3 linked regions of the Cricetulus griseus genome follow. The protein of the gene in region 3 purifies or fractionates together with the protein of the main gene of each other region. This does not show direct contact. Links are inferred from orthologs where the notes say so. Each region holds a gene or a part of one and is shown on either strand. Other genes may lie near its edges. The genes, in order: Mitf, Hif1a and Sumo1.

Region 1 (7,617 bases), on a different chromosome or scaffold from region 3:
AATGCCCTCCTTTTATGCTCCCTACCCTGTGGCCCTTGTCACTTTTTTTTTTTTTTTTAACTTCACATTGCTGTTTCTAGTTTGGGTCTCGTCTCTCATAGATGCAAGAAAATCTAGGTTTACTTCCTGCCAGATTTCTGAATGTAAAGTAGAGTTACCTCATTCCGAAATTCCTGTCAGAAGCAGTACCCTCTGTACCATGGTAACATTCTGGCCCCTTTCTGACCCTCTTGCCAGCAAACGGATAGACTGATTGGCTAGGCCTACTGTGAGCATCCATGAGCTGAAAGTAAGGGAGGCCGGTTTCGAAAAGTCAAATCAGTGGCACAGGATTCTGAGTAGGCCTGCATAATGGGTGGGGCCAGTAAGCTTCAACTGCTGTCTGTGAAATTGGGTGCAACCCATTCACCAATCCTTACATCAGGATGCACACTTTCATCTAGGTTTCAATCTGCTGTTATAAACGTTGGGCCTTGGTAGATATATTCTAAGCATGCAGTGATTAAATATGAAGCATTTAAGTAGTCTTTAATCTGCCACAATGTTGTCTAGACAAGTGACTGAGCATGCTCTGTGATTGGGGCAATTGTCTGAGTACATATAGAAAAACTTCATTACTTTAAAAAGTTCTTGTCAATAGTTGGGTGTGAGTGAAAATCCACATTGGACAGAATGAGCAAGAATTGGAGAGTGTGGGGCTCAGGGATGGCTCCAAGGTTAAGAGTGCTTGTCAGAAGACCTGAGTTCAGTGTCTATAACGCCAAACAGGTGGCTCACAACCACCTGTAACTATCTTAGGAATCTAATGCCGTTAGCTTCCACAGGTGCTCACATGACCATGCATGTGTTCACATACACACACACACAACACACACACACAGAGAGAGAGAGACAGACAGAGAGAGAGAGAGAGAGACAGAGAGAGAGAGAGAGAGAGAGAGAGAGAATTAAAACATGAAAAAAATGGAGTGTGTGTTCTAGTGGAAGCTTCATTTGAAGAACAGAAACTTAAGTGTGGCGTTTCACCTCTTTTGTATACTTCCAGTGGTCTGCCTCAGAGGGGAGTTCCTGTAAAAGTCCCAGGCATCAAGAGTGTGTCAACCCCTAGTGGTGTCTGTGCAAAATGGAGATAAGTTATGGTGATAAAATGAGGAAATAGCAAAGTTCACATGTTGGCTTATGACGTCTCTTTTTGTTTTTAATTTTTTAATTAAATTTTTTCATGTAATATTTTTGATCATATTCTTTCTTCGCTCTCAGATCCTCCCCCTCCCTATCTACACAACTTCTGTTCCTTCTCTTAAAAAGAAACCCTAAGTCAAAATAAACAAAATAGCATACACACACACACACACACACACACACACACACACACACACACACACACACACACACACACACACACACACACACACACCCCCAGAGAGTCCATTTTGAGTTGGCCTTCTACTTCTGGGCATCCAGCCTTCCATGGAGTGTGGTTGATATACCCAGTGTCACTCAACTGGAGAAAACAGATTTTCCCTTCCCTGGAAACTACCAATTGCAATAGCTTCTTGATCAGCCATGGGGCTTTGCACCTACATCCCCTTCTGCATGCTGGGACTTTTGTCTGGTTTGAACTTATGTGGATTTCTATTACAGTCTCTGTGAGTTCATGTGTGCATCAGCCCTGTTGTATCTGGAAAATACTATTTTCCTGCAGTTGTCCACCACCTCTGTCTGTTAAAATCTTTTTGCCCTTCTGAATAGATCCTTTAGCCTTGAAGGGAGGACTGAGTACCAGTTCGGTTTCTTCATATTTAATGACATAAGAATATAATGCCCTTGACAATAAGGTCTTACTGTCAGGTTGTGGCGTATAACTGATTTGATTAGCAATAGAGATTGGGTAGATAGTTAAGTACCAGGGAGAAAGAGTTGACACTTCTTCCAAAGAAGAAGAAATAGAATATAGTGGTATAAAGGAATAAAGAGTAAATTAGAATAGGAAGTACAACTCCATTCCACTTTGTGGCCTCCTCCTTGACTAGCATGGAGGAAGTCTCACGCTCAGGGAATTTGTTTGGCCAGTGTCAGCAAATGCACTTGCAGCCATGCCTATGGGATTTTCTTTCTGAGAAGAGTAATATACACTTTTCCATGCAGAACTAGATCAGAATCCAGAAGTCTAGACAATTGACTTCTTCTGAAGGCATCTGTGAGAATTAGTGTGGCCAGGGCTTTCACTGTGGGGTTAGAAGCCAGGTGTCCCTAGCACCTGGTAGTCATTATTTGTTGAATCAATGAACTTCACGTAATCGGGTTAAAAGGAATCATACTCATGGAATTAGGATTATCTAGCTAGAGCTGAGGTTTGTAGGCTCAACAATGAGCCCAGTTAGCTATTAAAATTAGATACACTCCGGTATCTCTGGATATATGTTGTTAGTGGCTCTGTCAGGAAGCCCCCCTTCTTAAAAGTAGCCATTCCAGCCACTTGGAATATTCATTAGCTAAGCTTTCATTCCTTACTAACCCTTTCATAAACTCACAAACCATGCTCTCTTGTTCTGTGAGTGGATTATATTCTAGTTGTGTCTGTCTTTGTCTACGAGGTTATAATTGTGGATTTAGTTGTTTCTAAGATAAGTGGACACTCAAAAGATGGCAAGCCAAAGCTGAGAATCTGGTAGTCATGTCCCACAATGTGGAAATATCCTACAGGGCATGTGTATGTAGTGAAATAACCCCAATGCTTCCTACCTCCTTTAGAAGCCTTGTTAAAATGTCAGTTGGCTGAGTTTTATTCTATTTTCTATAAATGTAAACTATGTTTACTATTGTTTCTTTCATAAGGTTCCCCATATCCGTATCGTCCTATTGAACAGGTCTGTATTGTTTCTTTCCTGATAGACTATTATAGAAGCTACTTTAAATGGTTTTGTTATTGAGGTTAAAGTATGAAGCCTTAGTGGGTTGCTCACTAATAATTTTAATTTGTCTCTGGGATGCTTTATTGTTAATTGAAAGGATTCCCCTCCCCTGGTATTGCAGCCAGTGGGTTGTCTTGTGCAGTTAATTAGCACGATTATGCCACAGCTCCATTTGCACCCACACAAAGGTTGGCTCTTGTTTTTATCAAAAGGATCATTCTCTCTGAGAATGCTTGTACCTGACAGGCTTTGAATAGCCAGACCACTTGTTTCTTTTTAAATAGCCACCTCCCATCTTTTCTTGGCTTAGGAAAGTACATTTGAGCTTTGAAGACGCACTCCAAAGTGGGAAATACATTTTCTTCGGATGCTCTTTTTGGCAGTGAATAGATGATTTTAGATGAACAGACCGACGAATGGTTGGGGAGCTTTTTGGTTGTGTGGAGGAATGTACAATGTTAAGATAATAAGCAAAGTGTAGATGCCACTCTCTCGGTGTTCTGTGTATTTATAGGGAATGCAAGAGAAACAGCAGAAGAAAGATGTTTTATGTGTGGGGCTGTTGAAGACACCCAGAAGAGCTGATACCCTGGATTAGGACACTGTAATCCCTTCTTGTAGTTGAAATATTGTCTGATAGATCAAGTCACCTTTCTTCTAGCCTAGTGGTGATGCTGATCCCCTGTCATTTTGCCACTTTCTGTAGTGTCTAGTGCATATATATTGCCACTGAAAAAAATACTTTAGTTTTATTGTAGCTTAAAGGAGAAAAGTTAAAAGACAATTGATTTTCCTGAGTTGATCCTCACTCAAGCAAATGTTGTTGTCCTACACATTCCCTGCTAGGCACTTTGTGCACTTACACACACATGCTGGGCTTACTCTGCATCAGCCTGTAAATGCATATTGGAATCCAAATTTGTGACTTATGCTTACTGCATGCATATCCTACTTTGCTGTTCCGTTTGCATTTTTAAAGAAATAAGGTACTATGTTGCTGAATTCATGTCATAATTTACTTAATTAGCTATGGTCTCATTTGAAGGGAAAATTAGGTGACTCCGGATATTTTTGAAATCTTTAAAAGCCTTTATATTTGTGAATTCTTCCACTTTTGAGTTCTTTCAACAATTACATGTCAAGGAACTTTCTGAAACAAAATGAATAATTTATTTTTAGCTTTTAGATGTAATTTTCATAAAGGATAATAGTAATACACTATCATTATGCTTTTCTTGTCATGAACATGGTTTGCTTTTTAATTGGATACTACCTAGAATGATATTTTTCACCTGGATTTAAAAACTATTGTATAATTTTATTCATATCAGCAGATTTGTTTTTATGGCATTTTAGTGAATGCATGATATTACATTTTATGAATTATTATAATTTACTGACTTTCTGTATGGAAAATAAGCTTCTGGGCTGTTTAGGGGACTACGTGATAGTGTGACACAAATCTTTGTCCTGCAGCACACCTGTTACTTGTCCTTTGGTTATTCACAGAGGTAGCCAGGGGCTTCAGGACTTTTGTCTGTGGTAGGAAGGTAAACACAGTGTGGGGTTTGTGCTCAAGAGGCAAGTTAAGTTTAGATGCCATTCCTAAAGTGTGATGGATGCAAATATTCATATTTTTCTCTTTCCAGAAGCCAAAATATTGTTTTATAAGGTTGCATAGAGATTTGAATAATTATAATTAAGTTTGATTCCTATACTGGATGATAATAATTGCAAGCATAAACATATAGCAGGGCAATGATCATTGTAGGTGGGGATTATGGGCACTGCTGTATTTAACTCTCACAACACCAGTAAGTCCTTAGGAGGGAAGGCTTTTGATACAAGTGGTACAGTACAGTGGTACAGATACTTAAAGAATATAAGCCCACTTTAATAAATAGCGAAAATGCGGTATACAGCTCTTCCAGGTATGGAAAACCAGGCAGAAAGAGGTTAATTATCTGTGCATATCACAGAATTGGCAAGATAAGCAACCCAAAGCCTCACCTAGGGAAAATAGGAACTCTTTTTTTTTCTCACCTTCCTCGCATTTAAGCATGTTAGATAATAGTGAACAGAATGAGTCCCTGACCTTTAGAAGTAGACCTCATGGAGAAAGCACAGAACACTGATGCCGTGGACATGCCCAGATGAGTCAGTCACAAGGAAAGACACACAAAGAAAACTAGGAGGAAAAGAGTTGGGTTGTCAGTGCAGCTTCTCTTCTGTCCCTTGCTCAAAACAGGGGTGGAGTGCAGTATCAATGTCTGGTTCAGATGCTTCTTCATTAATGATTTGTTTCATTTGTTGTCTTCAAAAATCTTTCCTGTAACAGTGTTTCCTTCCTAGCAACCATATTAGACATCTTCAAGGAATTTAGATAACATGTAGGAGTCCTTGGTTACTTAGACTTAGCTATTTAAGACAGCAAGTCAAGTAATTTGTTTTTAACTGTGGAGACTTGGGTGCCATTGAGATGGATGGCTTCTAGTTGCTGCATATGGTGGTGTTTTATTCAGTGGTGTGTGGCATAAATGTCAAAAAGAAATAAGTGATTTGGTAAAAATACCTAGACGCAATCAGCCTGACTTGTTTAATTCAACTCCTAATGACTAGAATCCTGTCACCTCTTGATTTTCAATTACATGGAGTGCCGTGCCTTGCCTTGATTATATCTGTGCAGACTCACCTCCCAGTTTGGTGGCATTTAGGATATCCCGCGATGCAGGTGATGGGTCTCATCAGGATACTAAATGGTGTGTGCCTTCTGGTTTCCCCACAGCAGTTCCGCAGAGCATCCTGGGGCCTCCAAGCCTCCATTAAGCTCCTCCAGTATGACATCACGCATCTTGCTACGCCAGCAACTCATGCGTGAGCAGATGCAGGAGCAGGAGCGCAGGGAACAGCAGCAGAAGCTGCAGGCAGCCCAGTTCATGCAACAGAGAGTGCCTGTGAGTCAGACACCAGCCATAAACGTCAGCGTGCCCACCACCCTTCCCTCTGCCACCCAGGTGCCGATGGAAGTCCTCAAGGTATGTGAGTGTTGCCCCTGTGTTTGGACTGAGCCTGTCCCTTTTCCAGCCCTATGTGTCATATTCGCTGGACTGTGACTTTGCTTGTTTTGGTATTAGATTCTTATTTATAAGCATCATGCCCAGTGGTTCCTATGAGGCTTTGTCTTTTAAAAGAAGGATTTGGACTAACTGTATAGGTTATAGCAACCCGTGAATGGTGGAAATGTTTTCATGACCAATCCCAAATGGGATCTGCTGTTTTCTATAATGAGCAACATTTCTCAGTCTTGTTTTTGGAAATGGTTTCAAGCGTAAGAGTTATCTGAAAGAGGCCTCTTCTAGAAACTTGTGTGTATGTTTTCACAAATGCTTTCCGGGGCCACACTTTAACTTTGCTCTTCAGTTAGCAAATCCTGCTGACCCTAAGAGCTAATTGTTTCAGAAAGTCTTTTCAGAAAGAAGACTGTGGTCAAGCACTGTCTGTGCCTTAACAACCAGACCTCATAATCCTTTTACTGAAGTGAGCTGTCTGCTTTGGGTCTCTTTGATATCTTGCTAGAGTGGAAACTGCAGGAGCTTGTTAACGTCCTTCCATCAGGGACACATAGCTTCCTAATTATGAGAGGAAGTTGTAGCCGCTCTGACCATAGACCTCCGTCTCCCACATTGTCCTCCCTGCCACATGGGGAGTTGCCTTGCTTCATAAACATTTCAATTTGTAAATACGACTGGTTCCAGAAAATCTAGAAGTGGGGAAGCCTCCTTGTTTTTCATTTATTATTATTATTATTTTACCCATCCGCCTAATTGATTGATTGTGAAGAGCCAAGTGTTCCTGTTCAGTAAGCAATGTGAACTCCTCAACCTGCACATGCATTGTCAGTCTTTGCTTTACCCTTGTGCTTAGAAAAAAGAAAATCCATCCATCTCCCCCTACTTAAAGTTTATTCTTAAAGTGAACAGGAGTGATGTGCTACACACAGGCTCCTTCAGGAATTCTTTAACAATGACTTTAAAGTCGCACACATATATTTACAAAGACTTTCAAATTTAAGGATACCATTATGGAACCCTTAGGTAGAGAAACCAGTTGAAATTTTGCTAATAAAGCAAAAATGATGCAACTGGTTTCCGCATAAAATTTTACTTTAACATGACTGAAATTCTGAGCAATGCCACAATTATGACTCTTAGTCTTCTATCACCCTATCAAGCAAAAGCATCTTTTTGCCATAGAATGAACTATATATGGACTCTCTCTGTTCTGCCTGAGTAGAACTTGAGAGTCCCCATTTGATTATTGTTTCCTGTTTGCGAGAGTCATGATCATTCTGTTTATACTTTATCTAAGCAGCATGACCTCTATAATCACAATGCAGAAACATGTATCTGTTTTATTCACTATAATCTTAAGATTTTTTTAACTGAAAAGCAAATTTTAGAGGTGGTGACATGGATTTGAGCATAGTGGTTTACATCCAGATAGAAGGTAATGTTTAATGTTATATTGTAGTATTTAAATTGAAATAGATTTTCCTATTAGAGTGGTTATATGGGGTGGTGGATAAATTACCATAAAATAAATGTGTAGGAACATCATTTCAATATTATCCTAAAGTTTGCTTAATTCTTAAATGTTTAAAATATTTTCTAGCCTTATTACAATTAACATGTAAATTAAACAA
Region 2 (7,617 bases), on a different chromosome or scaffold from region 3:
TGTGTGTGTGTGTGTGTGTGTTTTACTTGGATGTATGTAAGTGTACCAAATGCTTGCAGAGGCCCGAAGAGGACATTAGATCCATATTATGTATTATAAGTGATTCCTAGTTTTTATTTTATGTGCATAATATACATACATGCTTGGTGCCTGAAGAAATGAAAAGGCATCAGATCCTCTGGAACTAGAATTACAGGTGGTTGTGAGCTGCCATGTGGGTGCTAGGAATCACATCTTGGTCCTCTGGGAAAGTAGTAAGTACTCTTAACCACTAACTCATCTCTCCAGAACCCCACCCTCAAAATGTTCTTTAAAAAAAATACCTAAATATCTTACATCTTAACTGCCAAGCCAGCTCTCCAGCTCTTCCCCTACCCCTACTTACTTTAAAATAACTGTAATACATAGATTAGATTGTAGATGGTGTCATGGGAAAAACTTTTTTTTTTTTTATTTTCAAAGATACACATCTATCAAAGTTTGTCAGGTCAAACTCAATTACTGACCTATATTTCTTTTTGCCCCTTTAAAAAAAAAAAAAAAGATAACTGCTTGTTTTCTTGCTCATGCACAGGTGCTTCACTGCACAGGCCATATTCATGTATATGATACCAACAGTAACCAACCTCAGTGTGGGTACAAGAAACCGCCCATGACATGCTTGGTGCTGATTTGTGAACCCATTCCTCATCCATCAAATATTGAAATTCCTTTAGATAGCAAGACTTTTCTCAGTCGACACAGCCTGGATATGAAATTTTCTTACTGTGATGAAAGGTAAATTAATTCTATTTTATACTTTTAAATTTTAAATTTCTCTGTAGCCTTTTTACACTCACTGTAGTAAAAACTTAATGGTACACTGCATGTGTTCATGAAATTAAATATAAAGATGCATCCTGGAACACAAAAAAAACATAAGATTAGCTTTGTAAATTCATGCATCTATTAAACATTGACTGTGTACTATAAATATTCTGCCAGGTGTTCTGCAAATCTATTAAGATGAGATTCTCAGATGGATCTGGTGGCACACTCCTGTAATCTCAGCAACTGGGAGATGGGCAGGAGGAAAGGGAGTTGAAAGTAAGCTGTCTCACAAAAATATGTTTCAGGATAGGGATGTAGGTCAGATGGATCACTTGTCCAAGCATTCAAAAGGTATTGAAACAACCACAAAAATCATGACGTTCTTTTGCTTTAGGGAATCTTGAGAATGTAAATTTCAAAGACCTAAAGCTTATATAGAGTAGGCAACAAAATTTTGGTCTTTAACCTATATGTTCTCCTTGAGCACCTTCAACTCCACCCACAGTTCCTGTCCCCATTTCCCAAATCTGTTACTACTTGTGTGTAACTGCCAACTTGATATTCCTGTCTAGATCGTTTTCTGTATAATGAAGTAAATACTTGTGTTCCTGAACTGAACCACTGCTGTTCCCAAACAGCAGCATGACAGATTGCTACTCCTCTTGTGATGCCTAGTGTTGTTGACATAGCACTGTTGACTCTAACTTTTACCACACATTACACTTAGTTGGTCTCTAAGTATTGTAAATGCATTGTTCATTCAACTGTCTCTCCTCATTGTTCTATCTACCTTTGTGCTCCTGTCATGAATTCTTTACTTCATTACCTTTGGCCTGAGTTGTTCCCACAAACTTGTGAGCTTCATTTCTACCAACAGATCTGTGCCCTTTTACTCTTACACCCATTGTGCCCAAAGAGGGCTTCCCAAGGTAATGATCAGATTATGCCAATTTCTTATTAGAAATGCATCAGTTGTTTCTTGTAGGATTGTAGATGGGAAGATTTTTATTTATCAAAAGATGCTGTACATTCTGGATGTGGTGGTTTATGTCTGTGATCTCAAAACACTTGGGAGGCTGAGACAGGGAAGTCACCAAAAGTTCAAAGCCAGCCTGGACTACATACGGACTCCAGTCTAGTCAGGACTTTGTAGTCTGTCTGTGTCTCAAAAAAAAGAAAGAAAGAAAAAGTGTGCAATTAAATCTAAATATAATAAAATGACAAGCAAGTTATTTACCAGAAGATTGCCCACAGGTTAGGTTTTCTCATTGTGTTTTCATGTCTAGAATTACACCAGAAACATGAATGTTTAATTAAAAAGTATTTCATTATGTTGGAATTTTATTTACGTGTGTAAAACTATGTAAGAGCAATTCAAATAATTTTTAGGGCTAGATGCACCTCCACACTCAGCGGTAGCATGTGTGAGTGCATGTATGTGGGTTCATGTGGGTCACAGCACAAAGGTAGAGGACAGAGGACAGTTTGTGGGAGTTCATTCTCACCTTCCACCACGTGGGTTCCAGAAACTGAATTCACGCTGCCAAGTTTGGTAGCAGGTGCCTTACCTGATGGCCCATTTTAATGGTCCTGGATGCTAGAAATGTGATGTAAAGGTTTTCTTAAAATTGGGCAAATTTTTTTCTGTGTCTTGATTCTGAGGTGGTATAGAGCAAGAAATTCTTAGCAAACATTTAAAACTGAAAACTAGTACAAATCACCAGCTCCAAATCACCAGCACCAAGATGGGGTAGGGAGGACCTTTGTCTAGCATTGTGAGCCCCCATATCAGGGTTCTCAACCAGTGAGTCATGTCCCTTTTGACAGTTGACAGGCCCTTTCACAGGGGGCCCAAGACCATTGGAAAACACAGATGTTTACATTATGATTCAGAACAGTAGCAAAATTAGTTATAAAGTAACAATGAAAATAATTTTATGATTGGGGGTCACCACAACATGAGGGATTGTGTTAGAGAGTCTCAGCAGTAGGAAGGTTGAGAATCACTGCTCTAGATTTAATCCCTACTACCATTCTGGGATGAAGGAGAAAACACATATTTTTAAAGTATATTTTATTTATCTTTGTAATGCTGCCATCTAGTGTTGGTGTATTTTGGTTATCCCTTTTTGAAGAGTCAAAGTTTGATTTATGCTTCAATAAATCTGCTTTGTTGGTTTTAGAGTAAATGGCAGATCTTAAACTGTAACAGCTAAGCTATATTATTTAACATACTGTTATGAACAAAGATACCTTCCTTATGCCCATTCTGTAATTAGGTGTTTGCTTTTTAGACATATGAGTATCTTTTACCTGCACCTTGGTTTTTTTGTTTGTTGGCTTTTTTTAAGTCCTCTGGAATCTAAACTGAGAAGTGTCAACACTTGGTTCATGTTTGTTCCCAGAAAGACTTCAGTGAAAAATGTTTGTAATTGGTTTAATGTGACGAGGACAGACTTGTCTTTCTCATAAAATGGGTCCTCATGGTTTCCAGGCTGATACCCAGGGACCAGGAGGCTCCCTGAATCCGTTTTCAGCCCTTTTTCTTTTAGATGCCGTTCTTTCATGTGAAATCCTCTTAATTTTAGAAAATTAATATTTACTTTCCATTTAGTATGGATGTCCTTGGCTTAATAGTGAAATTTTATAGTTGATATTAAAGTGAGGCCTTGCCACAGGCCTAAAAATAGGGTAAAGATTTTCACTGAATGAAAAATAAACTGCTATAGATTTATACTGTATTTTAAGATAATTGTGACTGTCTTTGGAACTTTTGTCATTTCATTTAGCATCATTAAGATTTACTAATATACCCTGCTTTGATACCAACAGTGTGTATAATGAAATGTGTTTTAAAAAATAGGTCATGAGTTTGGGTAAAAGGGATAAGTCAGATATCAGGGACTGATCTAAGTGACTTTATACTAAGTACAGAATTTGGGGTTTTTTTGTTTGGTTTGTTTTGCCGGGGGGGGGGGGGGGGGATGGGGTGTTTTTTGGTTTTGTTGTTTGGTTTTTTGTTTGTTTTCTGAGACAGGGTATCTCTGTATAGCCCTGATGTCCAGGAACTCTGTCAGTAAACCAGGCTGGCCTCAAGTTCACAGAGATCCACCTGTTTCTGCTTCCAGAGTGCTGGGATTAAAGGAATCCACTGCCCAGCCAAAGTATAGAATAGTTAAGTGTGAGTTCTAAACTTATTAAGCAAAAGATAATCTTTTTTTTTTTTAAACAGAATTACTGAGTTGATGGGTTATGAGCCAGAAGAACTTTTGGGACGCTCAATTTATGAATATTATCATGCTTTGGACTCTGATCATCTGACCAAAACTCATCATGACAGTAAGTACAGTAGAGGAACTCAAGGAAATAGTGTCATTGCTTAAGTCCTGCAGTCTGTACTGTACCTCTACTTTCTAGTTAAAATTACCACCCAGTCTCCTTAGACAAGCATCCTACAGCCCCTTCATAAGATGTCTTGATAATGAAATTATTGTTTTGTTACAAATATTAGCAAAAAGTAAAGTCATTTAATAATAAATACATAAAGTATCCCATAAAAGTCAAATATTATAGATTATCTAGCCTACGTACATATGTACTGAAATCAGTGGTTGGTCAATAGGAGGTAGTCACAAAGCATTTGTTCATGAACTAGTGAGTAGGATTAGTATACACATGTGATAACTGACACCCTTGACATATAGGAGGTTTCTGAATTTTACTCAAATAAATCTATGATACCAAACTAAGTTAAACTTCATAATTCCTCACTTGCCTATTTAATCTGGACCTAAACATGACTTCCCAATATGATTGAGGGTACTGAGTTGAGTATCATTGAATTAGTGTAATTTGCCTTGAACTACAGAGTATGCCTAAGTTGTAGTCAGAGCATGGATACTCACAACGGCATCATCATGATTGATTTACTACATTCTCTTAAGTCAGTAATTAATTTAGACTGCATGAATTGACAGAAGGCTATAGTATGACATGAACTTATATATTCAAATGTTCTGAGTATAATTTTTTACAGTGATTGGTTCTCTGGTGCTTAAAAAAACTGGTACCATTTTCTTTCTTTTTTTTTTTCTTAAAAAGAATTTATTTAACTATTTTATGTGCATTGATGTGAGATCTCCTGGAACTGGAGTTATAGACAGTTGTAAACTGCCATGTAGGTGCTGGGAATTGAACTCAGGACTTCTGGAAGAACAGCCAGTGCTTTTAACCACAGAGCCACCTGGCCAGCCCCTTTTTTTATTTTTGAGACAGGGTTTCTATGTAGCTTTGTAGACCAGGCTGGCCTCGAACTCACAGAGATCTGCTTGCCTCTGCCTCCTGAGTGCTGAGACTAAAGAGGTGCACCACCACTACCCAGCTCCATTTTCTTAAATGTACCCTGTGATCAGTCTCTAGTCTGACACTTTCACCATAAGTCATTAAAGAAACTGCAGACACCTTGTCCTTCACTCCTGGCTTAAGATAGGAAATTTCTTTGGGGTTTGTTTTTAGGTATGTTTGGCCTTTCTCATTTTAAACAGTCACAACTATTTATTTAAGTATATCTCCCTTGAAACAAACAAACAAACCAACAGCAATGGTTCAGTCAAGCACAGCAGCACCAGCCTTTACCCCCAGCACTGGGGAGGCAGAGGCAGGCAGATCTCTGGGTGTGAGGCCAACCTGGTCTACATAAGGAGTTTCAGGACAGCCAAGGCTACATAGAGAGACCCTGGCCTGGAAAAAAAAAAAGCAAAAAACAAAACCCAACAGTCTACATTCATCACTTTTTTTTTTTATTGAAAATTGAGTTGTTTTCTTTGCAATCCTTTATTATCCCTAGTGTTTACTAAAGGACAAGTCACCACAGGACAGTACAGGATGCTTGCCAAAAGAGGTGGATATGTCTGGGTTGAAACTCAAGCAACTGTCATATATAATACAAAGAACTCTCAGCCACAGTGCATTGTGTGTGTGAACTACGTTGTGAGGTAAGATTGTGAAGAGACACTTTCTACATTTATGTGCCTTTATTAAGAAGATATAAAATGATAAAAACTGAGTTTTATTTTTACTTCTTCTACTGGATTATGATTTATACTCTGGCCCAACTTTCCAAACCAGCTATTCCAGTGATCCACAAAAGAGTATCATTTTTTTTTTTTAATCAGTCTGTGGATCTGTTTTCCTGGTAGTTGTGTTTTAAGCAGCTGCTATCCTGGGGCCAAAAGATTCTGTGAAAGTTAAATGGCTGTCTTGTAGGAGGGCACTGTGACAGGCTGTGTGTTGTGACACAGGGCTTTTGTTACAGTCATGAATGCTATAAGTTATTTCAGCAAGCTGTGCCCCATTTAGTCACTCTTCACATGACCAAAACATTCTAATTTAATTGCCAGGCAGAGTTCTCTAATGTGGATAGCTCATTTTCCTATGTTCCATACCCTTCCCCTTCTTTTTTCCTGTCTCACTGTGAGTAGGCTTGGCTGGCCTAGAACTCACTGTAGACCAGACCAGCCTTGAATTTTCAGCTGCCCTATGTAGGTTTGCAGGGCTGTGCCAGCATTCTCCAGCATAACTTTCACGGATGCTACCAAAATCCAGGTCACCTGTCTTGTGAAGACTTTGGGCCATTGTTTTTGTTCTTACAACTTCTAGTTTCTATTGTTTCTTTGGGGGGATATTTTTGATGCTAGGATCAAACTCCATGCCTTACCACTTCTAAGCCCAAAGAATCATCTTAGTTTAAAGAGTTCTTTTGTGGTTTTTTTGCCTTTATATAAAACTATTCTTCCTCTCCCAGTCTGCCTCATGATTGTTACTTGAGCCCAAATTCCAGCTTGTTCACCTTTCTATGAAACATCCTTTCCCCATCTTAGGAGTGATCACAGTGTATTGTGATCTTATCCATTTCACATTGGATATAAACTACTTGAAGGCAAGGGTTGTATACATCAGTCTTTGTATTCTTAGTTGGTTTCATAAATTGAACATGTAATGGGTTAGCTAAAAGTACGCTGATGCCAGACATGAAGCTGGGTGGTTGTTCATCATCCCTTTCCCTCTTCTTTCCTATCTTATGAATGACATCACTATATTATTTCCACCAAGAAAGTATGGCGCCTCTCATAAAGACTATGGTCATTAGCATTATATTGTAAGATCATCTGTAGATGATGTCTCATGTGTTAATGCTGACGAGTAATTTTGTGGCCTTTTTATTGTGTGCATTGCACAAATGCCTTACTCTGCTTGTGTTTCGAGTGTTCTTGTCACCACCCCTATTCTCAAAGAATGTTTCAATTCAAATAAGTTGAATATTTTAATTAGTGAATTTTATTTAAATTTTTATTTTCATATTGGTGATGTTTTTATTGTTTTTGGGGGGTGGGGGTAGTTCAAGACATCGAACTCACAGAGATCCACCTGCCTCTGCTTTCTGAGTGCTGGGACTAAAGGCATGTGCCACCACCGCCCGGCTTCATATTGGTGTTCTAAAATAATACACATTTCTCAATAGTAGAACGCTTTCCTAGTGTGCAAAGGTCTTGGGCTCAATCATCAGCACTGGGAGGGAAAAGAAATGTGGCAAATATGCATGAGAGATTATTCATCTCAAGGAATGTTGAGATGCTTTTTTTATATAAAGCATAATTGAAGAGACAAGGTTGTTTCACAGTCCCCCTTATTATCATCATGTCAAGTGCTAATTTACAAATACTAATCTCTCCTTTTTTGACAGTGGTATTATTCAGCACGACTTGATTTTCTCCCTTCAACAAACAGAATGTGTCCTCAAACCAGTTG
Region 3 (8,307 bases):
ATTAATGGTTATAGGACAATCCTCATCTTTTTTGGAGAACCATGTATCAATGCTGTCCACAATTATACTACGGAGTAATGAGATTTAAAAAAAGTATTTCAGCGGACAGTGGTGGTGGTATACACATTTAATCCCAGCACTCAGGAAGCAGCAGCAGGTGGATCTCTGAGTTCAAAGCCAGCCTGGTCTACAAAGTTCCAGGTCAGCCAGGACTACACAGAGAAAGCTGTCTTAACCAAATACAAGCCGGGCGGCAGTGGTGGCACACACCTTTAATCCCAGCACTTGGGAGGCAGAGGCAAGCGGATCTCTGTGAGTTCAAGACCAGCCTGGTCTACAAGAGCGAGTTCCAGGACAGCATCCAAAGCCACAGGGAAACCCTGTCTCGAAAACCAAAAAAAAAAAAGAAACAAAAACCAAAAAACCCACATATTTTTTATTCAAATATCAAAAATAATAATTGGGTATTCATCAGTGAAGAACCCAACAATGTAAGCTCTTTGTGCACATAATGTCCTTATTTTAAACTGAAGTTGTACAGCCGGGCATGGTTGCACACACCTGTAATCCCAGAACTTGGGAAAGTAGAACAGAAGGATCACTGCTAGCCTGGATACACAGGGAGATCATCTAAAAACTAAGAGAAAAGCAAAAACTAATTACTCAACTTTAGTATTTTAAGCACAAGATAAAGCTGCTAAGAGTTGCCTCAGAAAACAAAATGTGTACTGGAGCTGTAACACAAGGTATCCTTGTTCAAGGCAAGCACATTATCACTGACCTACACCCCCAGACAAAGAAAATACACTCTAAGGCTATCTTCTGGAGACAGTAGTTCAGTTCCATGTGTTGTTATTACACAGCAGTATTTGGGGATTCCTGTTCTCACTTATTAGCCTCTTAAAGATAAGGATTCATAGCCAGGTGTTGGTGGAGCATGCCTTTAGTCCCAGCACTGGGGAGGTAGAGGCAGGCAGATCTCTGTGAGTTCCAGACCAGCCTGGTCTACAAGAGCTAGTTCCAGAGGACAGCCTGCAAATCCACAGAGAAACCCTGTCTTGAAAAACAAAAAACTAAACAAAAGATAAGGATTCATTTAACCTTCATCTCTAAAAAATTAACACTCAATACTGAATTTATTCTGGGAACTAATAGTAATGAGGTCAATCAGCCTAGACCAATAAATTGTTCCTAAATCTAGTAACACACTCTCAATTATTTACAATCCCATCAGCCTGGCAATGGTGGCACACACTTTTTGTCCCAGCACTTGGAAGGCAGAGGCAAAAGGATCTCTGAGTTTGAGGCCAGCCTGGTCTGCAGAGCAAGTTCCAGGACAATCAGGGCTACACATAGAAACTCTGTCTTAGAAAACAAAATAAATAACCCCTAAAATGTTAGCATACTTTTTCTTCAAGTCAAAATTTCTAAAAGTAGCACTATTTCACACTCTTGCATATTGCTTTACTGTGTAGCTCAATTAAAAAGACTTGTTTTGGGCCAGGTGGTGGTGGCACTTGGGAGGCAGAAGCAGGCAAAGTGAATTCCAGGACAGGCTCCAAAGCTACAAAGAAATCTTGTCTTGAAAACAAAACAAAACAAAACAAAAGTTTGTCAGGTATTGTGATGCACATCTTTCACTCCAGCACTCAGAGGACAGAAGCAAGCAGACCTCTGTGAGTTCCAGGCCAGCCTGAACTACAGAATGAGTTCCAGGGCAGCCAAGGTTACATAGTAAGACCCTATCTCAAAAACAAAAGAAAATCCCAGCACTTGGGAGGCAGAGGCCAGCCTGGTCTACAGAGCAGAGTTCCAGAACAACCTCCAAAGCAATACAGAGAAACCCTGGGGGGGGGGGGGGGGAACAACACGGGACAAAAAAAAAAATAAACAAATCACACATGGACTAGCCAGGTATGGCATAACTCTAATCCTCCCTACTCTGCAACGATAAGTGAGGGAGGAGTATTTATTCCGAGTTCAAAGACACCTTGTGCTACAGAATGAAGTTCAAGAACAACCTAGGCAACATAGTGAGACTAAGTATAAGAGATTCGGATCTAGCTCAGTGGTATAGTGCTTGTCTGGCATGTACACATGTGAGCCCTAAGTTCAGTGCCCAGTAACAAGTACTACACCCTAGTGTGGCTTCACAGATCCCCTGAAAACAGCCTGTGTCCTAGGTTCTCTTTTCCTTTCTCCATAATCTTTTTTTTTTTTTAATAGTTTTTCAAGACAGGGTTTCTCTGTGTAGCTTTAGAGCCTTTCTCCATATTCTTAAATGATGTGAGTTCAAACTAGAGCAAAAATAATTTTAAAATTTCTAACTGTATGTTGCCCTTCATCAGGCTGACATGCCTTCTAGTTCCTTCTAAAATAAAAGACTGATGAAACTAAGCATTTACAGCTCATCTTTCCTCCCTTACTCGGAACTATCTGGAGAGATATTCATAAACGAATTTCTATCCAGATTAAACAGAATTAATCCAGATTATTTATAAACAAATCTACCCCACAATTAATCTACATTATGGATAGGCTACAAAAATAGAACCATATTATCCAGGTGGTGGGGAAGCATGCCTTTGATCCCAGCACTCAGGAAGCAAAGGCTGGGAATCTCTGAGTTTGAGGCCAGCCTGGTCTACAGAGCAGTTCCAGGTTAGCCAAGGCTACACAGAGAATCCTGTATCGAAAAACAATTAAATAAATAAATAAATAAATAAATAAGATTAAATTAAAAGAAAACAGTTCAACTACACTGTGGTGCTGAATGAAAAGTTTACTGAATAATTATCATTATAGACAAACGTCAAAAAAAATTTGAAAATTCAGTCCTCTAAGCAAACAAAAGGAAAAACAGATAAAAATCCTATGTATTAAAACTAGCCACAAACGTGGTAAACAAAAATGGGATGAAGGAAATTAAGGTGGCAGTATTCCTAATTTGAATGCCAATACCATGCAAATTCTTAACATTAATACGGAGACACAGCATTTTACTATTAATTGGCAGCTTTCTGTAAACATTCTGCAGCTGTAAATATTCAGTTTTTCTATTTTCCTCAAAAATATCACCTGGAAGAGGGTGATATGGAGGTGCATATAACCAAGATACGTCGTTTACGTGTATAAAATTGACTATGTTAAAAAAAAGTGCCATTTTTGAAAATGTAACAATCATAAGCAGGCTAATGCCCAGATGAAATAAATGGCTTGTTGGTGGTGGTACTCTAACCTAGTTTCGTTTGTTTCTCGGTTATTCTGAACTCTCCTACAACTAGAGAGTTGATGGACCAATCCCGAGTAAGAAATGGAAAGTACAGAAAAAGAGCCGACCGATCCGCACCCCCCAGATGGAAAAAAAAAAAAAAAAAAAAGACGCAGAAGGGAGCAGAGGCGGACAGGCCCTCCCGGCAAACACAACGGAAAGCAGCGTCTTCTGGGTCCCAGGAACCTCAGGCCAGGCTTCCTCTCCGCCCCCCACTCCGAGACCAAGAACCCAAAGTGGAGTGGAGCAGCTTTTCGGGGCTACCTACCCTCCCAGTCAGGGATTCCCTCCCGTTACATAACTAGGCCTGGGGCCCTGTTTCTGCCATCGGTCCTCTGAAGGGAAACGGTCGATTTCTCTTAGGTTGCTCTCGGGGACAGAGGAGCGGGCCTGGGCCCCCGGCGGACCCGCGAGAAACCTGGGAGCCGTCGAGAGAGCCGCGGCGCGGGGCAGCGGGAGGGGGGCGCGGGGAAGGCGGCGGAGGGCGGGTGTTCCCCGGAGCCCCGCGGTCCCGGGCGGCTGGGCCCGACTCGGCCGGGCGCTCCGCGTCCCTCGCGGCCCCCTCCCCAGCAGCAGCCCCCTCCCCCAGCTGCGTCCCCTCCCCCGCGCCGCGGTCCCCGGGCCCAGCCAGCGGCCGACAGCTCTGAGCCCCGATGCCCTGGCCCAGTACCTGGTCAGACATGGTGATGGTGGCTTCGCCCGGGGGTCTCCGCACCACAGCGGCCTCCGGCAGGCAGAACCTCACTCTGAGGTTTACAAATCTGTCTCTTCCCCACAGCACAACACCGCGGCTGCAGGGACTTCCGCTACGTATTGCGTCACTTCCGCTGCGCGCAAAGGAGACTTTGGGAAGACGGGAAAAGGAGGCGGGAAAACGCCTTGGGGAAAGGCCTTGGGGCGTCTGACCTGTAAAATTGCTTGCCCGGAGCAAGAGAACGACTGTGTGTTCTGCCGCTGGGAGACCCGGCCGGCTGCCTCAGCCCCCTAGGGAGACCAGGGCATCGCCACCAGGCTGAATGTTTGGGGTCAAACCGACATCCTAGACTCCTCCCTCTCGGACACCTTGCGCGCTTCTCCGAGCTAAACCAAGTTCTTTTGTCTGCTCCCAACCTTACTAACCGTCCCTAAATATAGGGAATCGCCGGTATAATATTTTTATTACCTTCTCTTGTTTGCTGCCAGCACACTCATGACCTTGATTTAGGACCACAACGAAAAGACGACCCCTTAGAACACATATTTTTTGTTTTTATTTTTGTTTTTTGAGCAACCCTGGCCGCTCTAGAACTATGTAGATCAGCCTGGCCTCGAACTCACATAGAGTCTCCTACCTCTGCCCCCAGCTCTAGGACAGTTTTAAGAGCTGTAGATGACTAAAATGTTGAAAGTTTTTAAGTTTGAAGTTATAGGCAGAAGGAGCTACCTCCAACCTATTAACTATTTGCCTTTCGTCACAGAAAGACCTAAAATTCTTTGACTACCACGACCTTCTTGCACAGGCATTAAGTGTGGATTACGGATATATAAGTAAAAAGAGTAAAATTGAAAAAATAATTGTTGTGTGTGTTTTTCCGATACAGAGTTTCTCTGTGTAGCTTTGGAGCCTGTCCTGGAACTCTGTAGACTATTCTAGACTCTGCTGCGTTAGAGGCATGTGCCACCACGCCCCCCAACCCCCGGCAAAAATGAAAATTCTAAATAAATCAATAACCTTTCACAGTATAAGACGTTAGTAAAAGAATCTTTTCGGACTGGAGAGATGGCTCAGAGGTTAAGAGCACTGACTGCTCTTCCAGAAGTCCTGAGTTCAATTCCCAGCAACCACATGGTGGCTCACCATCCCTTATGAGATCTGGTGCCCTCTTCTGGTGTGCAGATATACATGGAAGCAGAATGTTGTATACATAATAAATAAAATCTATTAAAAAAAAAAGAATCTTTTCTTAGGGGCTGGAGAGATGGCTCAGGGTTTAAGAGCACTGACTGTTCTTCCAGAGGTTCTGAGTTCAATTCCCAGCAACCACATGGTGGCTCATAACCATCTGTATTGTGATATGGTGCCCTCTTCTGGCATGCACTGTATACATGATAAATAAATAAATCTTTTAAAAAATCTAGGAAGTCTTTATTTAAAAAAAAAAAAAGAATCTTTTCTATAGTTAGTAATGAGGCGACTAGAGATGGCCCAGCGGCCAAGGAGCACTGGTTGTTCTTCCAGAGAACTCGGGTTTGATTCCCAACACCCACATACTCATTCACACCTAACCTGTAACTCCAGTCCCAGAGTACCCAATGCCTTTTTCTAGCTTTGTCAGCACCAGGCCAGGCCTCCATATACGGCATAAACATGCATGCAGATGAAAACACCCACCCATACACGTTTAAGCATTTAAAAATTAAAAATAGCAATATAATTGGTAATGAGACTACTGGAAGTTCACATGCAAAAGAAAGAATTTGAATCCCTATCTCACTGCATATACAAAATTAAAATGTTTCAAAGGTGTCTTAGGGTTTCTTTTTATTATTTTTACTATTATTAGTTAGGGTCTATTGCTGTGATGAAACACTGACAAAAAAGTAAACCGGGGAGGAAAGAGTATATTTGGCTTTTACTTCCACATCGTAGTCCATTATTGAAGGAAGCCAGGACAGGAACTCAAATAGGGTGGGAACCTTGAGGCAGGAGCTAATGCAGAGACCATTGAGGGGTACTGCTTTTGGCTTACTGGATTGCTCTCCATGGCTTGCTCAGCTTGCTCTCTTACAGAACCCAGAACCACCAGCCTAGAGATGGAACCACCCATCAATCACTACTCCAGAAAACAGAGGCATTTTCTTTTTTTGTTTATTTGGTTTGGTTTGGTTTTTTGTTGTTGCTGTTGTTTTTTTTTTTTTTTTTTTTTTTTTTGAGACAGGGTTTTTCTGTGTAGCCCTAGCTGTCCTGGAACTAACTCTGTAGACCAGGCTGGCCTCTAACTCACAGAGATCCTCCTGCTTCTGTTTCCCAAAAGATGGGATTAAAGGCATGTACCACTTCTGCCAGGCTAGAGGCATTTTCTTAATTGAGGATACCTCCTCTCAGATGACTTTAGCTCCTGTCAAGTTGATGTAAAACTATCCAGCACAAAGACCTAAAAGCAAAACTCTTAGGAGAGAATACAAACAAATCTTTATGACTTTTATTTGTTGATTATGTTTTTGGAGGCAGGGTGTTTATATTTGGCCCAGGCTGTCCTGGAACTCAGCTCTTGCTGTGTCAGCCTTCCAACTACTAGAATTTCAAGTTTCCAATACCGCACCTGTGGTGATATCTTGATTGCACAAATAAAGCCTGTCTGGGGGTCAGAGAATGGAGCTTGCCACTAGCTAACCATAGAGATCTGGAGATGTGTACAGACAGACAGGAAGTGAGGTACCTGGACAGAAACAGGGAGAAAAAGGAACTCGCTCTCTTGTCTGCTGAGACACTAAGTAGATAAGGTGTGGCCGTGGGTTGCTCCTTCTCTCTGATCTCTCAGCATTTTCCTCTATATCTGACTCTGGGTTTTTATTACTTAGACCAGTTAAGAACTCCATTTACACTCACCCAGCTTGGATTAGATAAATGATGGGTTTTTAGATATGACACCAAAAGCACAAATAACCAAAGGAAAACTGAAAATTTGGAATGTATCAAAAGTTTAACTTTTGTCATTAGTGTTCAAAACACAACAAAAAAATGACGGACAGAGCAGCCGGGCGTTGGTGGCACATGCCTTTAATCCCAGCACTCAGGAGGCAGAGGCAGGTGGATCTCTGTGAGTTCAAGGCCAGCCTGGTCTCCAGAGTGAGTGCCAGGATAGGCTCCAAAGCTACACAGAGAAACCCTGTCTCGAAAAACCAAAAAAAAAAAAAAAAGAAAGAAAAAGAAAAAGAAAGAAAAGAAAAAAAGAATGCATTTGGCACACACCTTTAGTCCCATCACTTAGGAGGGATCTCTGTGAGTTAGAAGTCAGCCTGGTCTACAGAGCTAGTTCCAGGACAGCCAGAGCTGTAACACAGAGAAAACCTAACTCAGAGAGAGAGACAGAGACACAGAGAATGTATTTTCAGCTGTTGTATTTTTAACTTTGGGGTTGCAGATAAGACCCCATTTATGGCTTTGTGCTGTAAAAGCAAAAAATAGGTATGATTTCTGTGGGGCCTTCCCCCAACATCTGATTGTTTATTCCCCAAAAGGATGGTTCTGCCTCAAGCTCAGACCCAATTTTGTATGCTTTTCCAGAAATAGCCTCCATAGAAAGCAAAAACAGCTACAATGCTTCACAAAGAATATTCAAATGATATTTAGCATTGTAACCTAACAAAATTAATGTTCAAGTTTCTTGTTGGTGTTTTAACAAATCACCATGAACTGTGACTGGAATCTGAAGTCTGTAATGCTGCTATTTTAGAGAAGAACTAAATTGGTAGGGAAGAAGAGCAGGAATTGGTAGAAGGAAATAAGTTAATTAAAAAGCCAGCTCTGACAGCCAGGCAATGGTGGCACATGTCTTTAATCCCAGAGTTTGGGAGGCAGAGGCAAACAGATCTTTGTGAGTTTGAGGCCCTACAGGTTTACAAAGCAAGTTCTAGGATATCCAAAGCCATTACATAGAGAAACCTGTCTGGAAAAACAAAAACTAAATAAATAAAAAGGGGCTGGAGAGATGGCTCAGGGGTTAAGAGCACTGACTGTTCTTCCAGAGGTCCTGAGTTCAATTCCCAGCAACCACATGGTGGCTCACAGCCATCTATAATGGGATCTGGTGCCCTCTTCTGGCATGCACTGTATACATGATAAATAAATAAATCTTTAAAAATAAATAAATAAATGAAATGAAAATGCCAATTCTGAGGCAGGCAGTGGTGGCACAGTGGCACATGCCTTTAATCCCTTAGTCCCAGCATTTAGGGGGCAGGGGCAGGCAGATCTCTGAGTTTGACTCCAGCCTGCTTTACAGAGTGAGTTCCAGGACAGCCAAGGTTACACAGAGAAATCCTGTCTCAGAAAA

Evidence for each region.
Region 1: the proteins of Sumo1 (region 3) and Mitf purify together in Homo sapiens (affinity purification with western blotting; 3 studies listed by BioGRID and IntAct, with this or other methods). This does not show direct contact. The link is inferred for Cricetulus griseus from reciprocal best matches to the Homo sapiens genes SUMO1 and MITF.
Region 2: the proteins of Sumo1 (region 3) and Hif1a purify together in Homo sapiens (co-immunoprecipitation; 3 studies listed by BioGRID and IntAct, with this or other methods). This does not show direct contact. The link is inferred for Cricetulus griseus from reciprocal best matches to the Homo sapiens genes SUMO1 and HIF1A.

What each region holds. Positions count from the first base shown.
Region 1 is NC_048601.1:45,990,325-45,997,941, reverse strand, and holds part of Mitf (microphthalmia-associated transcription factor), read left to right. Parts: intron 1-5,700; coding exon 5,701-5,950; intron 5,951-7,617. UniProt on the Homo sapiens protein: Transcription factor that acts as a master regulator of melanocyte survival and differentiation as well as melanosome biogenesis.
Region 2 is NC_048598.1:129,462,208-129,469,824, reverse strand, and holds part of Hif1a (hypoxia-inducible factor 1-alpha), read left to right. Parts: intron 1-574; coding exon 575-777; intron 778-4,042; coding exon 4,043-4,149; intron 4,150-5,656; coding exon 5,657-5,804; intron 5,805-7,552; coding exon 7,553-7,617.
Region 3 is NC_048595.1:413,929,597-413,937,903, forward strand, and holds the start of Sumo1 (small ubiquitin-related modifier 1), read right to left. Parts: upstream 4,099-8,307; 5' UTR 3,954-4,098; coding exon 3,942-3,953; intron 1-3,941. UniProt on the Homo sapiens protein: Ubiquitin-like protein that can be covalently attached to proteins as a monomer or a lysine-linked polymer.